Linked DNA regions of Mus musculus. The protein of the gene in region 1 purifies or fractionates together with the protein of each later gene. This does not show direct contact. Links are inferred from orthologs where the notes say so. Each region holds a gene or a part of one and is shown in the gene's direction. Other genes may lie near its edges.

Region 1 (6,218 bases):
ATTGAATGACACCCACTTATGCAAAAATACAAAATGCAGTCAGAGGTCATGAGCTTAAGTAGGAGGTATGGAGACGCAGAGGAAAGAGAAATTGACTAGAAACATCTGTGATGATGTTAGACAGTTACTTGGGTAGGTCTTGAAGAGTAGTTTGGATATGTCAGAGGTCGCATACGCTGAAGAAACTAGAGTAAAATATGGAGATGAGAAGACAGAATTGGCTATCCAGAAGGAGGCACCTGATGGTGACTGCAGGTGGAGGTGTGGTAGGCTGTTTCTTTAGACTGTAGACTGGAATTGAATACTGAAGTTTCAAATCACTTTTATTACATTTAGTTACTTTGTGCATGTTTGCACATACACATGCAAGTCATAGTGCAAATATGGAAGTCAGAGGACAACTTGCTGGCGTTAGATTTCTCCTTCCAGCAAGTGGCTCCTGGGGATGGAAACCCAGGAGGTTAGGCTTATTTGGTGGCAGGCCCCTTTTCCCACTGAATCATCTCGCAACCACCACCACCACCCATTGAAACTTTTAAATATAAATGAATCATCTTTTTAAGTATTAAAAAAGAGGTTTGTTTGTTTGTTTGTTTTTAATTTTAAGTCTGTGTGTGTCCATGGAGGCCAGAAGTGTTGGGTCTCCCTGAAGCTGGAGTTACAGGAGGTTGTGTATTGCCAGTTGTGGGTGCTGAGAACTGATTTTAAGTCCTCTGGAAGAGCAGACCTTCATGTCAATACAGAGCAACAAAAACTTAGTTGTGGGTGAGAGGAAATTAGGAGAGTAATGTGAGAACAAGCTTGATATCTTTTTAAAAAAATCAAACTTCTCAAATCACTAGAAAGCTAGAGGTGTTCAGTAAGGGGTAAGAGGTGAGGTTTAATTTCAGGATTTAGTAGTGTTCAAAGACTATAATACAGCTTTTACAAATGAAGCTTAGAAGGAGAAGCCGAGGAGAGGAGGGGGGAAACCCTGCTTTTCCAATCCGGTAATAACCTGCTACATGAAGGGGAAGTTTATCCTCTTTCCTATCTGCATTTTCTTTTTCTTTTCTTTTTTTTTAGTTTTTTGAGACAGAGTTTTTTGGTTTTTCGAGACAGTGTTTCTCTTTGTAGCCCTGGCTGTCCTGGAACTCACTCTGTAGACCAGGCTGGCCTTGAACTCAGAAATCTGCCTGCCTCTGCCTCTCGAGTGCTAGGATTAAAGGCGTGCGCCACCATGCCCAGCTCCTATCTGCATTTTCAAATGTCCTATTTTATTGGTAAGGCCAGAAGACAGTCTAGGGAAGGAAAGTTTGATGGATTTATTTTCCTGGCTGCTTTTTAGGTCTCTGGGTAAGGTATGAGTAGTAGAACAGACCCCAGGCTCCTGAGAACACCAGACCCACTCACCTGAAATCCTGCTTCTCTCCCCTGCCCTCCCTTTATCACTCTCCTTTTTATTCTATTTTATTTTCCTCTGTGAGCTTGAGGCAGGACAACCTCGTGTCCTTGCCACCGACCTCCTTGAGGTCCAGCCTTCTTAATCCCCTTGTCTTCTGCTTCCTTTCACCCAGCTCCATTCACAGTGTGATTTCCCTTCTGTCAACCTTCCATTTGAACTAAAAACCGTACTCAAATGTCCCTAAGCTTTGTCAAGATTCTAAAGCCTCTGCTCCACCCTCCTGCCAAGGCTTTTGGGGTGCATTCTCTGATCTGTTGGCTCCCCACTTTGCACCTCTCTACCGAACTGCTTTCTTATAAGTGACTTGTTGAATAACAAATCCAAGACCACTTTAGCCTGAGTTGTCCTGTAGTGTTTAATGTTGGCCACCTCTGGCTTTCCTTTTCTGATTCTTTTTGCTTTGCTTTTCATGCTGGCCTTTTTTTCTTTTTGAGAGTCTTACTATGTAGCCCGGGATAGCCTTGAGTTCAAATTCTCTCACTTGTGTTGTTCTGTAGCCTTTGCTATGGTTAAACACTTCTCCTTTCCCTTCTCTGTTCTTCTTTGCTTTTCCATTTTGAGATAGGGACTCAGTGTGTAGCCTAGAATGGCCCAGAAGTGAAGATTTTCATCCTTCAGCCCCCCAAGTGCCAGGATTATAGCCCTGTGCCACCACAGCCAACTTTTCAAGGATCCATTTGTGGATTTCCTTCCCTCTATACCAAGGAGCCTCAAACTAGGCTGCCTATAAGAATAACCTGAGAGTGCTCAACAGTTAAGAGCATTTGCTGCTGTTGCAGAGGTCCAGGGTTCGATTCCTGGCACCAACTTGGTGGCTCACAACTATCCTAACTTCCAGTTCCAGGGAATCTGAAGCCTTTTTCAGATGTCTGTAGGCACCAGGCACATGTAGACAAACATTCTTAACATAAAGATAACAACAACAACAACAAAGTTTTAAGAAAATAATCTGAGGAGTTTTAAGAAGTCTAGCTGTTCGGGCCATGCTTTAACCAGCTAAGTTAGACTGCCTAGGATAGGGCCCAGACAATGTTTTTTTTTTTTGTTTCAAGGCATTCATGGTAACTGCAATATCCAAATATCCAGCCAAGTGCTTTTTTTTTTTTTTTTTTTGAGACAGGGTTTCTCTGTGTAACCTTGGCTGTCCTGGAACTCACTCTGTAGACCAGGCTGACCTCGAACTCAGAAATTCACCTGCCTCTGCCTCCCAAGCGCTGGGATTAAAGACGTGCACCACCACGCCCGGTGAGCCAAGTACTTCTTGATGGATTCTGTGAGTTCAATAACCACTCTAGCCTTGGTGTGCACTTGGTGTGCACTATACAACTGTTCAACTTTGCTAGAACATTTCATTGTTTGAAGCACCTCCACAAACACTGCATATGAAACTGAGCTAATTTTCTATGAGTCTGTCTACCATGTGGGTCTGAGAGATGGAACTCATGTCTTCAGGCTTGGCTAAAGCACGGTGTCTTCCCCAGCCAGCCTCTATCCCCACCCCCTTTTAATCTTAATACTGTTCTTCCAAATACTTGAGCTTAAAATCTGAGTCATCAGCCGGGCGGTGGTGGCCCACGCCTTTAATCCCAGCACTTGGGAGGCAGAGGCAGGTGGATTTCTGAGTTCTAGGTCAGCCTGGTCTACAGAGTGAGTTCCAGGACAGCCAGGACTACACAGAGAAACCCTGTCTCAAAAAAACCAAATAAATAAATAAATAAATAAATAAATAAATAAATCTGAGTCCTCTCCCTCCTCTCTGTATGCTTGTCTTCTGGATGCAGAGAGTTGCCACATGTTAGTTCCTGTGAAACAAGGAACTTAGTTACAGCCAGGACTACACAGAGAAACCCTGTCTCAAAAAAACCAAATAAATAAATAAATAAATAAATAAATAAATCTGAGTCCTCTCCCTCCTCTCTGTATGCTTGTCTTCTGGATGCAGAGAGTTGCCACATGTTAGTTCCTGTGAAACAAGGAACTTAGTTGCTTGTCCTGTCTCTGTCCCTGTTGTCATCTGCTGATTTTAAGCCGAGCTTCTCAGTGGCCGTCTCTAGCTCTTCTCTTTGGTTCTGGTTCTTGCAGCTAGTGTGAGTAAATTAGCAGTTGACTGTACCCCACTGCCCTTCCTACTTCCTTATTCTAAATCTCCTGAGGAATCCCTATTGCCTGTGGCTAGTTGTGAAATACCCTGGTGGTTGGGCCCCACCCTTCTTCTCTGCTCTTTCCTTTGCTGGAAACAAGCCAAGGAAGCCCCTGATGGTTCTTTCCTTCTGTCTTAAGGGGATGCTGTTCATTTTCAAAGGCTTAATCCCACCTTCTCTCCAACCAAGACTCCTCTAGGGCTCCCTTCACATTCTCCCCATTCACAGTTCCCATGGTTTTGAATTAAGACTTGGATATGGACGAATAATGATCTAAGAAAATTGTTTTCTATTAGTAGAAATTTCTGTCAGATACTTGGGAGTTGCTGAAATATTTGATTAAAAGAAAATTAGGAGGACGGGTAGTGGTGGCGCACGCCTTTAATCTCAGCGCTCGGGAGGCAGAGGCAGGCAGATTTCTGAGTTTGAGGCTAGCCTGGTCTACAGAGTGAGTTCCAGGACAGCCAGGGCTATACAGAGAAACCCTGTCTCGAAAAAACAAAAGAAAAAAAAAGAAAAAAGAAAGTTAGGGCGGGGTGGTTGGGCCTGAAGAGATGGCTCCGCATTGGCTGTTCTTGCAGAGGACCTGTGTTCAGTTTCTTATGCACATGGCCACTCACAGCTGTCATTCCAGGGATCTTGAGGCCCTGGTCTGGCTTCTGTGGGCACTACATACACAGAATACACAGATATGTATGGAGGCAAAACATACACATTTGAAACTAGTCCGTGCTTCAATTGAGATAAGAATCCTCATCCTCACTTAGAATATTCACATTTTAATTTAATACCTTGTCTCTGATGCTTCTAGATTTGATTCGAACTATCCGGGACCCAGAAAAGCCCAATACTTTAGAAGAACTGGAAGTGGTCACAGAGAGTTGTGTGGAAGTTCAAGAAATAAATGAAGATGACTATTTGGTTATTATCAAGTTCACACCAACAGTACCTCATTGCTCTTTGGCAACTCTTATTGGTAAGGGTTGTGTGTGTGTGTGTGTGCATGTGTGTGTACATGGGTGCATGGGAATTCTAGTTTTTATTGGTAAATGTGTGTCTGTATGAATGCTTCTTACATTTTTAATTAAGTTTTTTGTGTATGGGTTGTTTTATCTGCATGTATGTCTGGGTACCATGTGCCAACAGAGACCTGCTAAGTCATCCCGACGGCAGTTAAATAAGTGGTTTTAAATATACTTTGTTTTAATTTTTTGCCTGGCTTGGCTTACCAGTGGCTTATTTTGGGGGGTAGGGTTAAAGACAGGGTTTCCTTTTGTAGCTCTGGCTGTCCTAGACCAAGCTGGCCTCAAACTCATAGAGATCCGCTGGCCTCTGCCTCAGAGTGCTTGGATTAAAGGTGTGCGCCACCATGCCTGTCTTCTGGTATTTTGTAAAGCTTAAGGGTCCGTCCATTATGCCTGAGTGCCAGCTGGCCCAGCAGAAAAGGCCTGGCCTTTGTGGTGCTCCTTTGTTCTGGTCAGTGCCAGCTCTGCTGTGGTACTACCACCAACAGTCACCTTACACTGTGACCTTGGTTCACCATGTATAGAATGACCCAGTTCCCTGGATTTACTGGGGCAGGCATGAAACTCTATTTCCTCATGGTGCCAAGGTCACAGGAGACCCACACTGGGTGGATGCAGTTTGAACTTTATGGTTTTTCTAGAGCCAGTAAGAAGGGATACAAAGATAATGAAGATTTTTCCCCCATCATAGGGCTGTGCCTAAGAGTAAAGCTTCAGCGGTGTCTGCCGTTCAAACACAAGGTAAGAAGCTTGCTTCCGCCTCACACCCAGGGCCTCACGTGAGCCTCACATACCTGCCGCAGAGCCCCGTCCCTGCTCCAGCTTGACTTGTGACACCTATTAAGGTGTAATTCACACATCATATAAGCCACCTGAAGTAGATAGCTGAGTAGTCTCTGATAACTCCTGCAGGGTTCTGCAGCCATCTCTGAATCACTGTTGAACACTTGCATCCCCTGCATCCTGCATGCAGTCAAGTACGGTAAGACATGAGTAACGCCACCACTTGGGAGGTTAAGAGAGGATGGTAGCCTGGGCTACACAGCCAGATCCTGTATCAAAAATGGAGAGAGAGAGAGAGAGAGAGAGAGGGAGAGAGAGAGAGAGAGAGAGAGAGAGAGAGAGGGAAGGAGGGGGCAGCCCTGATTTGCTAATAAGTAGTCTCTCTGTGCTTACAGCATGCTCTTCTCTGCTTCTCTGTACAGAACAACCATCTATTTCCAGTCTCCATAATTTGGGATATTTCATTTTAATGAAATTAGACAGTGTGTGGATTCCTTGACTTACTATGTTTTTAGTGTTGATGTTTTAAAGTGTGTGTTTTATTCTTAGGTAGTGTCATATAATAATATCCAATTAAATGGAGAGACCTTGTTTAATTTTGCTTTCTTACCAGTTTTTAGACATTTGAGTTGTTCCCACTTTTTGTTAAAATGGAGTTTTGGGGCTGAGGAGATGGCTCAGTGGTTAAGTGTGGTTGCTCTTGCAGAGGACCTGAGTTCAATTCCCAGCGTCCACATGGTGGCTCCCAATCATCTATAACTTTAGTTCTTCTTTTGACTTCAATTGGCACATACATGGTACACATACATACATGCAGGTAAAACA
Region 2 (4,859 bases), about 11 Mb from region 1:
AATCACAGTATACTGTGCAAGGGGAGAATTACTGACACGTACCATCAGTTTGTGTACCGGGTGACAGCATTACCAATGTTAAATTGCTCTTTGTTTACTATGATTATGGCATTGATTCCATCAGTAGCAGTTCTATATGAATGTTCTTTTTTTCCCTGTTTGTGTGATGCTGTGGTGTTAGCCTTACCCTCCTTACCCTGCAGCATGATGCTACTTTACTAAAAATTTCAATTTGTCTTCAGTGAACTGAATAGGTAGAGTAAAATGCACACAGTAATGATATTAAGGTTTTATGGGCCTGAGAGATGGCTCAGAAGTTAAGGGCACTGGTTGTTCTTCCAGAGGTCCGAAGTTCAACTCCCAGCAACCATATCTGCTGCTCACAACCATCTACACTGGGATCTGATGCCCTCTTCTGGCATGCAGGTGTACATACAGATACAGCACTCATAGACACTAAAACATAAATCTTAAAACTTTTTTTTAGCTTTTTATTATAAATTGTAGTTGACGATATTAAACACCCTTTTCTTGGTTTTTATTCTAATGTGAAGGGTACGTTGTCATAGTCATTGTTTGTTGATTTTACAGGTCTTCTGGCTAAAAAGGCTGTTGAAATTGGTCTACGAGTTAAACCTTATATACGAACAAGTTTGTCTCCAGGCAGTGGGATGGTTACACATTACCTCAGTTCAAGTGGAGTGCTACCCTATCTTAGCAAGCTAGGGTGAGTGACACTTCTGTTATTTATACCTAGACTGGTATTCAGCAGTTAATAAATATATTTGTTAGGAATCAAAGAGAGGTAAAAAAGGAAAAATACCACTTAAAAGGGTGGATGGCCCCCTCAGAGTTGGTAAAAGACACACCCAGACACCAAGTTCTCAGCAAAAAGGAAATTTTATACCCAGAGGGGCTAGCAGATAGGGGAGGGTACAAAGTCAGACAGCACAGCAGCAAGAAGCAAGCAAGTGTTTTGGTTTTTTTGTTTGTTTGTTTTGTTTTTTTTGCAGGAGTGGATTTTTAAGGAGAAAAGGGGGAAATCTGTGCTCGGATGAGTTGGTGAATCTTGATAGCCAGATAATGAATTTTGATTGTTGGATCTTGGTGTTTAAATCTCAGGAATGAGTCAGTGACAAATAAGGGAATCAACCTTGGGAACAAGCTTTAGCAATACAGTTTAATGGTGTTTATTTTAGCAAGGGGAGAAGGAAAGATGAAAGAAAAAACCTGTCAGCGCCATGCTTGCCGTGCTCGGGCATGCCAGAGCCCTTCACTTGTTCCCTTGCCATCCACATAGTCTGGTGCCTAAGAAGCAGGTGGTGGTTGGGAATAGCAGAGGCACTTGGAGGTCAAGCACATGGTCTGTAGCCCTCAGGACAGGGCTGTTACTGTTAAGAGTGGGGTGAGGAAAATCTAATTCTCATGAGTCATGTTCAGTTCAGAAAAGAGTAAAGGAATAATACAAGTTGGATTAATTTAATTGAACACATCTTTAATCCCAGCACTTGGGAGACCGAGGCAGGGGGATATCTGAATGTGTGACCAGCCTAGTGTACAGAGGTAGTTCGAGGTCAGACAGGGCTACAGGGAAATCTTGTATTGGGGAGCAGTGGGGGGAATTGAACAGATTGTCTTGATTTAGGTTTTGCAAAGTTATTGGGTCTGCAATGTGAGGTTAATTTATCTATGAAGCTTAAGAGAAACAACTTCTAAATTTCTTTCATATTTAAGTGATAACAGTATAATTTTAGAAAATAATATTTTTACATAAATTATCCTTTTTTAAGGCCTCATAAATTTTAGATTTTTTTTTTTTTAATTTTGCTTTTAGAGCAGCAGCTAAAGTAATTTAGAGGCTTATGTTTGTAATCTTACTTTGGAATTACTGTCAGGGATTCTTGTTAGGTGTAGTTTATTCAGAGTTGAATAATTTATTTCCACTAGTAAATTGGGACCTTTGATGACTGTTATAGTGAGGTCATCCTTATGTTTTATAGTTTGAAATATGCCTTTCGAGTGGAAACACATGATTTTTTGTTTGTTTGTTGTTGTTGATTTTGGTTTTTTGAGACAGTGTTTCTCTGTGTAGCCCTGGCTATCCTGGAACTCACTCTGTAGACCAGGCTGGCCTCGAACTCAGAAATCCACCTGGACACATGATTTTTTTAAAAGGGGTTTTATTAGTTCTAGTTAGAGCAGAGGAGCTTTCTGATACTGTTAAAGTTCTTTTGATCTAGTACAGATAGTGTGGCTATGTGGCCTCTTCTGAGATTTATAATCAGTTCAAAGAACATGCTACCAGTGAGACTTTAATGTTTAAAACTGTGAGATTCATGTGTTGATGGTTAATTCTTACGAAGCAAGCAATCTTACTGTGATAAGGGAAATAAAGAGAGAAGATGCTCACAACCATCTAGAAGGGAAATGCAGAGAGAAGACTTGTCCTTTCTTTACATACTGTCCAGTCATGCTTCACTTTTTAAATGCAGGTTTGACATAGTTGGCTATGGATGTTCAACATGTGTAGGAAATACAGCACCTTTATCAGAAGCAGTTTTGAATGCAGTAAAACAGGTAAAAATGTAGATTAGCACATCTAAGTGCATTTTTATTGTTTATTTTTAATAAGGATGCTTCAATATTTACTTAAGCATCAGAGTTGATTAATAGATGCTAGTTTAAAAACTCAGACACACTTATGAATGCAATTGTGAGCCTCTTTGAGAGTTGCCCCAGCTTGTTTCAGCTATATCATGTTAGTAAATTATAAACAGTGTGTATATTGATATTTATACTGGAAACTCTCAGGAAACGTAACTTGTGGATCTTAAAATAATGCAAAGAATTACTTGTATATTTTAAAACTAATTCCTTAGTAATATAAGGAACTATTAAAGTATAAGAATTGTAGTTCTATACTTAAAATTAAAACTTAGTAAAAATTTTTGTTGTTGTTGTCTGGATCTCACCTAAAATTAGTTGAGACAAATTTTATAATTGTGTGAGTATATATAAGCTCTTGAATCAAGTATATTTGTTTTCCCCCCTTAGGGTGATTTGGTTACCTGTGGAGTTTTATCTGGAAACAAACATTTCGAAGGCCGTCTCTGTGATTGTGTCCGTGCCAATTATCTCGCCTCTCCGCCCTTAGTGGTGGCTTATGCCATAGCAGGCACAGTGAATATAGACTTCCAGACAGAGCCTTTAGGTGTGTTTTCTATATATTATCTGTATGTTTATATGCATACTTATGTGCACTGTCTCCAGAAGTTGTTAAAACCATACTCTTGATATGAAAGAAAACATGCAATACTTGTTTACTTTCTTAAAACATCTATTTTTCTGCTCTTAGTGTCTGTTGATATGAAGAATGTAATATGTATATGTAATTGATTTGCAATATTTAAACCTGAAACACACCCCATTGTTAAATCAGTTACTTGATTTCTGTGACTTTTCTTTGAAAAGATAGAAATGCTTTGAGGTGTTGGTTTTTGGTGGTGGTTGTTGTAATATGTGTACTGAATACCATGTTACAATTTTGATCAGGTACTGACTCTACGGGCAAGGAAATTTACCTGCATGACATTTGGCCTAGTCGAGAAGAAGTTCATCAGATGGAGGAAGAACATGTTATATTGTCAATGTTTAAAACACTAAAAGAGAAAGTAGAGGTAAGAGTCTTGTGGGGCTTTGTTTTTAGTTTGTTCTTTAATTTGAAGCAAGGTCTCACATAGCTCATACTGACTGAGACCTCACTCCTTGTAGCCCACGCTGTCCTATGAACTCAGCAATCCAGTCCTCAGTTCTGGGGTTTCAGGCATGATCCATGTGTCTTGCTTTCTAGACAGAATAAAAATTTTAATTTTGAGTATATAATTTTTATGGCTGAGTTTTTTTTTTTTTTAAAGCCTCTGTGTGTGTGTGTGTGTGTGTGTGTGTGTGTGTGTGTGTGTAAAACCTGTTAAAAACATTGGTGGTGGTATAGGCCTTTAATCCCATCACTCAAGACAAAAGCCTCGGCCACACAGTGAGACCCTTGGGGGGGGCGGGGCGGAGGTGTTCTTGATGACATTTTCATGTTTGTTCTCTGTACTCCTTTATTGCTCTTGCTCTCTCCTGTCCCCACTATTTCCTGCTGGTCTCCTCCTTTTCCCAAACAGTATCCCTTCTATAGTCACATGTGTGTATGTTCCTGCAGACATTTACAAATCTTTGTATGTGAATGATGTGTGTGTTTCTGTGTATGAATGTGGGCCTGTGTATACCATGGCATGTGTGGATGTCAGATAATAGCCTCAGGTATTAGTCCTTATCTTTCACCATATTGGAGAAAAGATCTTGTCTTGCCACTGCCTCTGCTAGCCTAGCTGATAGACAAACCTCGAAGGATTCTCTTGTCTCTACCTCCTGTTTTATCCATAAGACTGATTTGCAACCTTATATCCTGCTTACATGACTTCTGGGGGCTCAAACTCAGAAACACTGTGTCAAGTGATTTGTACCCATTAATCCTTCTGCCTACTCATAGTTCTGCCTTCTCTTTTATATATAACTTTAAATATGGGCAATATAACTCTCTTCTGTCCGGTGAGCTTCTCAGCCAGAATGTCATGCATTTGGCATATATGTTTTATTTTGAAATCTAGATTCCACATAAGAGAAGAAAATACAATATCTGTACTTCTGAATCTGACTTATTTTAACATAATGGTCTCTAGTTTTATTTTCTTGGTTTTTGGCTTTTTGGTTTTTGGAGACAGGGTTTCTCTGTGTAGACCTGGCTGTTCTGGAACTCACTTTGTAGACCAGGCTGGCCTTGAACTCAGAAACCTGCCTGCCTCTGCCTCCCAGGT
Region 3 (4,859 bases), on another chromosome or scaffold:
CCTTTGGCGCTGACACCTTCCATCACTTTCCAGGGGTCCACTTTGTCTTTGATACTGCCTTCGCGAGGAACTTCAGCCTTTTGGAAAGCCAAAAAGAGTTTGTGCAGCGCTTCCGAGAGCAAGCCAACTCCAGAGAGGCCTTGCCTGTGCTGGCTTCCGCCTGCCCAGGTGTGTCCATGGCTGCATGGTTGTTTAATTGAAGTTAGGGAGGTCATGATGTGGACAGCTTGACGTGGAAGGTGAAAATGACGGGGAGGGCTTGTCTTCAGGGAAGGGTAGGAATGTTGGCACCTAGGAGGTACCTGAGGCCTGAGACATTGCCTGGAATCACTGGCTCCTGTTGGTAGCATCTGGATACCAGCCTTCCCATGACAGTGATGACAGGATGGGTGTTTTAATGCCACAGTCTTTTCTTTTTTTTTCTTTTCTTTCTTTCTTTCTTTTTCTTTCTTTTTTTTTTTTTTTTGTGACTCGCTCCACCCCCAGAATGTCATGTTACTGCCAAGAGGAGCAGCTGTTTGCGAACCACCCCCAGACCTGCCCTATGCTCACCCCAAACCTGTTCGTTCTTTTTGGCTCAGGCTGGATCTGCTATGCTGAGAAGACACATGGCAACTTCATCCTCCCCTACATCAGTACAGCCCGGTCCCCACAGCAGGTTATGGGCTCCCTGGTCAAAGACTTCTTCGCACAACAGCAGGTAACAGGACCGGGCATCCCCAGGCAATATGTGAGAGATGGCCTGCTGGCTGACCACTGATGCCTTGTCTGTGACCATGGTCCCTTCTGGGGGGTGTCTGGGTGACCGCCAGTGGATGTCGGCCTGAGTATCCGTCTTGTTCAGGTAGCCTGTTACTACCTGGGCTGTCTTTTGTCAAGCACCAAGGGGCCCGGGTCTTATAGAAAAATACTTGTCACACCCAGAAATGGCTTAGACTCCATGTTTAAGAAGCAGGAGACCAAGGGCATGAAGCACCCCACAGGCTGTTGGGTGAACAAATCAGACCTCTCTTGAGGTCATTTCCAGTGATTCACTGGTTCTAGCCTAAAGTCACCGCACTGACAGGATGAGGAAGAGAGCTGGCTTGTATAGTGCTGCAGCCGCAAGCACTGGCATCGGCCCCGTGCATTCCCTCCGCGTGTGCACGGCCACACTTCCCTCAAGTCCGTGTTGTCTCCACTGTGACTTGACCTTCTCTCAAAGGCAGTGAGAACTTAATCTCCTGGGCTGCAGCTGCCTGTTATCAACAGAGGTGGGAGAGACGATGCGTGGCCCTGGTCATTTGGTGGCCAGTGGGCATGAGTAACTACTTAAGTCACCTCTGCCTCACATCGCACACTTCTCAGCTTAGCTCCAATGAGACTAAAGCTTTCTATACTCTGTCTGTAGCTTCTGACTCCTGACAAGATCTACCATGTAACAGTGATGCCCTGCTATGATAAAAAGCTAGAAGCATCCAGACCTGACTTCTTCAACCAGGAGTACCAGACCCGTGATGTGGACTGTGTCCTTACAACAGGTGCAGCTACCATGCATAACCCTCTTCCCTCTTATCTACGAGGCTCCCTTGGAGCCAAGCACTGGAGTCAGACACAGCTGGGGCTTCTGTGAGCGCCTCCCAAGATCCTGTGGCCAATGGAGCCCCAGGATCGCATCCTTGCTGGTTCAGAAATGAGTCCTGAGGGCAGGCAAGATCTCATCTAGTCCCTGTGGATCATAACTTCACCCTACTTCTAAGTGGAGTAGCCTGCCTCCCACTCACAAGTCAGGAACAGAAATCAGGGAGTCCAGCCTGCCCTGACTCCTTTTACAGTGCTCCAGGCTGGAATGCCTTCCCGTGGGTCTACAGGGGCTGGCCGGACTCACTGTCCCACCACCAGCTGGAGTAAGTGTCCCTCGGGGATGTGGACAGCACAGCCATCTCAGATCAATGAGAGCATGTGCTGTGTGCTTCCTCTGCAGGAGAAGTCTTCAGGCTGCTGGAGGAAGAAGGAGTCTCCCTCACGGAGCTGGAGCCTGCGCCCCTGGATGGCTTGTGAGTTGGTGGTGGGGACTGAGAAACCTTACTTGGGATCAGATGCTGTCTGTGGGGTGGGGCAGTGTCTTGTCCCCTCCTTTCTATCCAGGCTGCCTTCTGGGCGACTCCAAGCCTCCCCAGAGCCTGGCTGGGGCCCAAGAGTGGCTGAGTGTACAGTGTCAAAGCAGAACCTGCTCTAGAAGCCACCTAAGCTTCCCGGGGCTGCCATAAGAATAGTTCTTAATGTCTGACTACAAGAGACCTCAGTTGTGTTGCGCCTCCTGCACTGACCCGCCCCTCTCCCAGAACCAGTAGTGTGTCTGCTGAGGAGCCCAGCAGCCATCGGGGCGGAGGCTCAGGAGGCTACCTGGAGCATGTGTTCCGGCACGCAGCCCAAGAGCTCTTTGGAATCCACGTGGCTGAAGTCACCTATCAACCCTTGAGGTCAGCAGGGCAGGCACTAAAGTGAATTTGGGGGAAGCCCCCGGAGCATCTGGGCCTGGGGTTTCTCACCTTTGCTGGGCTTCGTGCTTGCCCTTTAACCCCATGTTAAGATCAAGGTAGGGATGAGTTTATCTGGTCGGGCCATGGATACAAGCTATACCCCACTTCTCCATCACCCCTCCCTCGGTGCGAGCAGGAAAAGACAGAGCCAGCTGGTACTGCACTGAACCCCAGAAGGCTTCTGACCCTGGGCAGGGACAGGTTCTCATGGCAATGTGTGTTTTCTCAAGCCTACTCCTATACTTTTAGGAACAAGGACTTCCAGGAAGTGACACTGGAAAGGGAAGGCCAGGTACTGTTGCGCTTTGCTGTGGCCTATGGTTTCCGTAATATCCAGAACCTCGTGCAGAAGTTGAAACGAGGCCGCTGTCCCTACCATTACGTGGAAGTAATGGCCTGCCCTTCAGGTAGCTCCTCCTAGTACCGCAGGCTCTGCTTGCTGGGATAATACAGCACCTTTCCACCAGTGGGAGGTGGAAGGGGTAGGACAGGAAGAGGGCATGTCCCCCTCTCCACACCCAGGGGGTCAGAGGGCTAACCCTGACATCCTGTCAACCATGCCCCTGCCCCACCACAGGTTGCTTGAATGGAGGGGGCCAGCTCAAGGCTCCGGATACAGAGGGCAGCGAGCTCCTTCAGCAGCTGGAAAGACTGTACAGCATGGTGAGGACTGAGGCGCCCGAAGATGCACCGGGGGTCCAGGAGCTGTACCAGCACTGGCTGCAAGGAGAGGACTCAGAGCGGGCCAGCCGCCTGCTGCACACACAATACCATGCCGTGGAGAAGCCCAGCTCAGGCCTGAGCATCAGGTGGTAGGAGGCCTTGAGTCTGTGAGACCCCCGGGGCCAGCACCAAGACTCACGGAAAGACTAGACTGTGTGGGTATCTGAAACAAAGCCCACAGGATACGCCCGAGACCCTCAATTCAAGGAGAGCTCCAAGGATGTGTTGGACTCTGTGCTCCAGTGGGGCACTGGCTGCACGTGGGTCCTTGGAGATGCGTGACCCATGTCTCTGGCTGGTAATGTTGCCTGCAGCCCACATAAAGTGCAGGCAGGATCAGAAGTAGCCAAGTAGGTTCACTGAGGTTCCAGACTCTTCCACTGGCCTGGGGCCATGGACATCTTGTGAGCCCTGCCCTCTGGCTGTAGTTGTCTGAGTGTGAGGGGTTTCATTTCTATGGCTAATCCCCAAAGCTGTAACACATAGGGCAGGTACCTACTGAGGCACCCAGGCTTCTAAAAACTGTTCTCAGGACCTTGGGCTCTGGGCAGTCTGTCAGTACCAAGCCTTTATGCCTATGAGAACTCCATAGCTGGGTCTCACCACTAATAAACAGACCTGCACCTCTGGAAGGATCCACTGTGTGTCTGGTACCACACTGGGCCTTTCAAAGTTTTATTCACCCTCCTCAGTCCCCAGGATATGTCTCTGGACCCACAAGAGCTCCTACAGATCCCACTTATAGGGCTCCATGAGCAGTAGAGACAAGACACCACTTGCTGGTTCTTCAAAGCAGGGTGGCAGGGGTCCCTGGGGGAGTGTGGGGACAAGCCGGTTCCCCACATAGTTCACTTTTTCTGGTGTGTGCTCAGAAGCCCCCACTGTAAGGCCAGGAGTGCCCGAACCTGCGGCTGTGGTGGCTCCACAGCAGGCTGGAAGCGCGCTCGCTCCCTGCAGAGGGCCTCCAGGACCTGGGCTGGGGCCACCTGGCCTGTGAACGCACGGACTGCATCCTCTCTGCAGGGAAGAATATGCTGGGGAATTGTGGGGCTGGCCAGCTGCCCATGGGGGTGGGGCCCAGCAGGGCGGTGGATGGAAGGAGGGCCCTTAATAAATGACCTTCTCTGGTGCCAGGGACATTCAGCTCAATAAATAGTCCCTAGATACCCTCCTAACTACTCAAATGACTGCCAAAGAGGCCCTGAGGAGGCCAGGCTAGTCCTGAGACTGCTCCATGGGGAGACTTGTCACTGGCAGTGCACACAGCCTCGTGAGGTTGCCCTACCCACTGATAGGGCCCAGGCCCCACCACAGGAAGACCCAGGACACAGATGTACTCACGTCACCCTCAGGAAAGGGTTGTACATGAGCTCCTCGCCCAGCGTCGAAGGCACAGTAGGAATATCCTCGTCATCCCTCTCCTGCAAAGCACAGAAGAACCAACGGCCACGGGGAGGTTACGGCACAGCAGGGCAACCCCCAGGCCCAGCCAGCTGAAGTCAGCAGAAGCCTCATTCTGACTCCCCAGAGATTCCCTTTCTAACTGACCCCAAACTTCAGGAAGGCTACTTCCGTCCCCCCCCCTTCCCCCTCTCCCACCCAACTGGCAATGGA

Evidence for each region. The genes of interacting proteins can lie anywhere in the genome.
Region 2: the proteins of Ciao2a (region 1) and Ireb2 purify together in Homo sapiens (affinity purification with mass spectrometry; 3 studies listed by BioGRID and IntAct, with this or other methods). This does not show direct contact. The link is inferred for Mus musculus from reciprocal best matches to the Homo sapiens genes CIAO2A and IREB2.
Region 3: the proteins of Ciao2a (region 1) and Ciao3 purify together in Homo sapiens (affinity purification with mass spectrometry; 4 studies listed by BioGRID and IntAct, with this or other methods). This does not show direct contact. The link is inferred for Mus musculus from reciprocal best matches to the Homo sapiens genes CIAO2A and CIAO3.

Annotation. Positions count from the first base shown.
Region 1 is NC_000075.6:66,128,131-66,134,348, forward strand, and holds part of Ciao2a (cytosolic iron-sulfur assembly component 2A isoform 1 precursor), read left to right. Parts: intron 1-4,396; coding exon 4,397-4,561; intron 4,562-5,301; coding exon 5,302-5,351; intron 5,352-5,522; coding exon of another isoform or gene 5,523-5,592; intron 5,593-6,218. UniProt on the Homo sapiens protein: Component of the cytosolic iron-sulfur protein assembly (CIA) complex, a multiprotein complex that mediates the incorporation of iron-sulfur cluster into extramitochondrial Fe/S proteins.
Region 2 is NC_000075.6:54,896,896-54,901,754, forward strand, and holds part of Ireb2 (iron-responsive element-binding protein 2), read left to right. Parts: intron 1-591; coding exon 592-727; intron 728-2,492; coding exon 2,493-2,577; intron 2,578-3,054; coding exon 3,055-3,211; intron 3,212-3,552; coding exon 3,553-3,677; intron 3,678-4,859. UniProt on the Homo sapiens protein: RNA-binding protein that binds to iron-responsive elements (IRES), which are stem-loop structures found in the 5'-UTR of ferritin, and delta aminolevulinic acid synthase mRNAs, and in the 3'-UTR of transferrin receptor mRNA.
Region 3 is NC_000083.6:25,778,917-25,783,775, forward strand, and holds the end of Ciao3 (cytosolic iron-sulfur assembly component 3), read left to right. Parts: intron 1-33; coding exon 34-168; intron 169-581; coding exon 582-700; intron 701-926; exon of another isoform or gene 927-1,198; coding exon of another isoform or gene 1,199-1,238; intron 1,239-1,390; coding exon 1,391-1,520; intron 1,521-1,891; exon of another isoform or gene 1,892-1,963; coding exon 1,964-2,036; intron 2,037-2,324; coding exon 2,325-2,462; intron 2,463-2,771; coding exon 2,772-2,929; intron 2,930-3,099; coding exon 3,100-3,338; 3' UTR 3,339-4,093; coding exon of another isoform or gene 4,094-4,262; 3' UTR 4,263-4,416; downstream 4,417-4,859. Other genes in the region: Haghl (hydroxyacylglutathione hydrolase-like protein), read right to left, coding at 4,094-4,262, 4,587-4,666.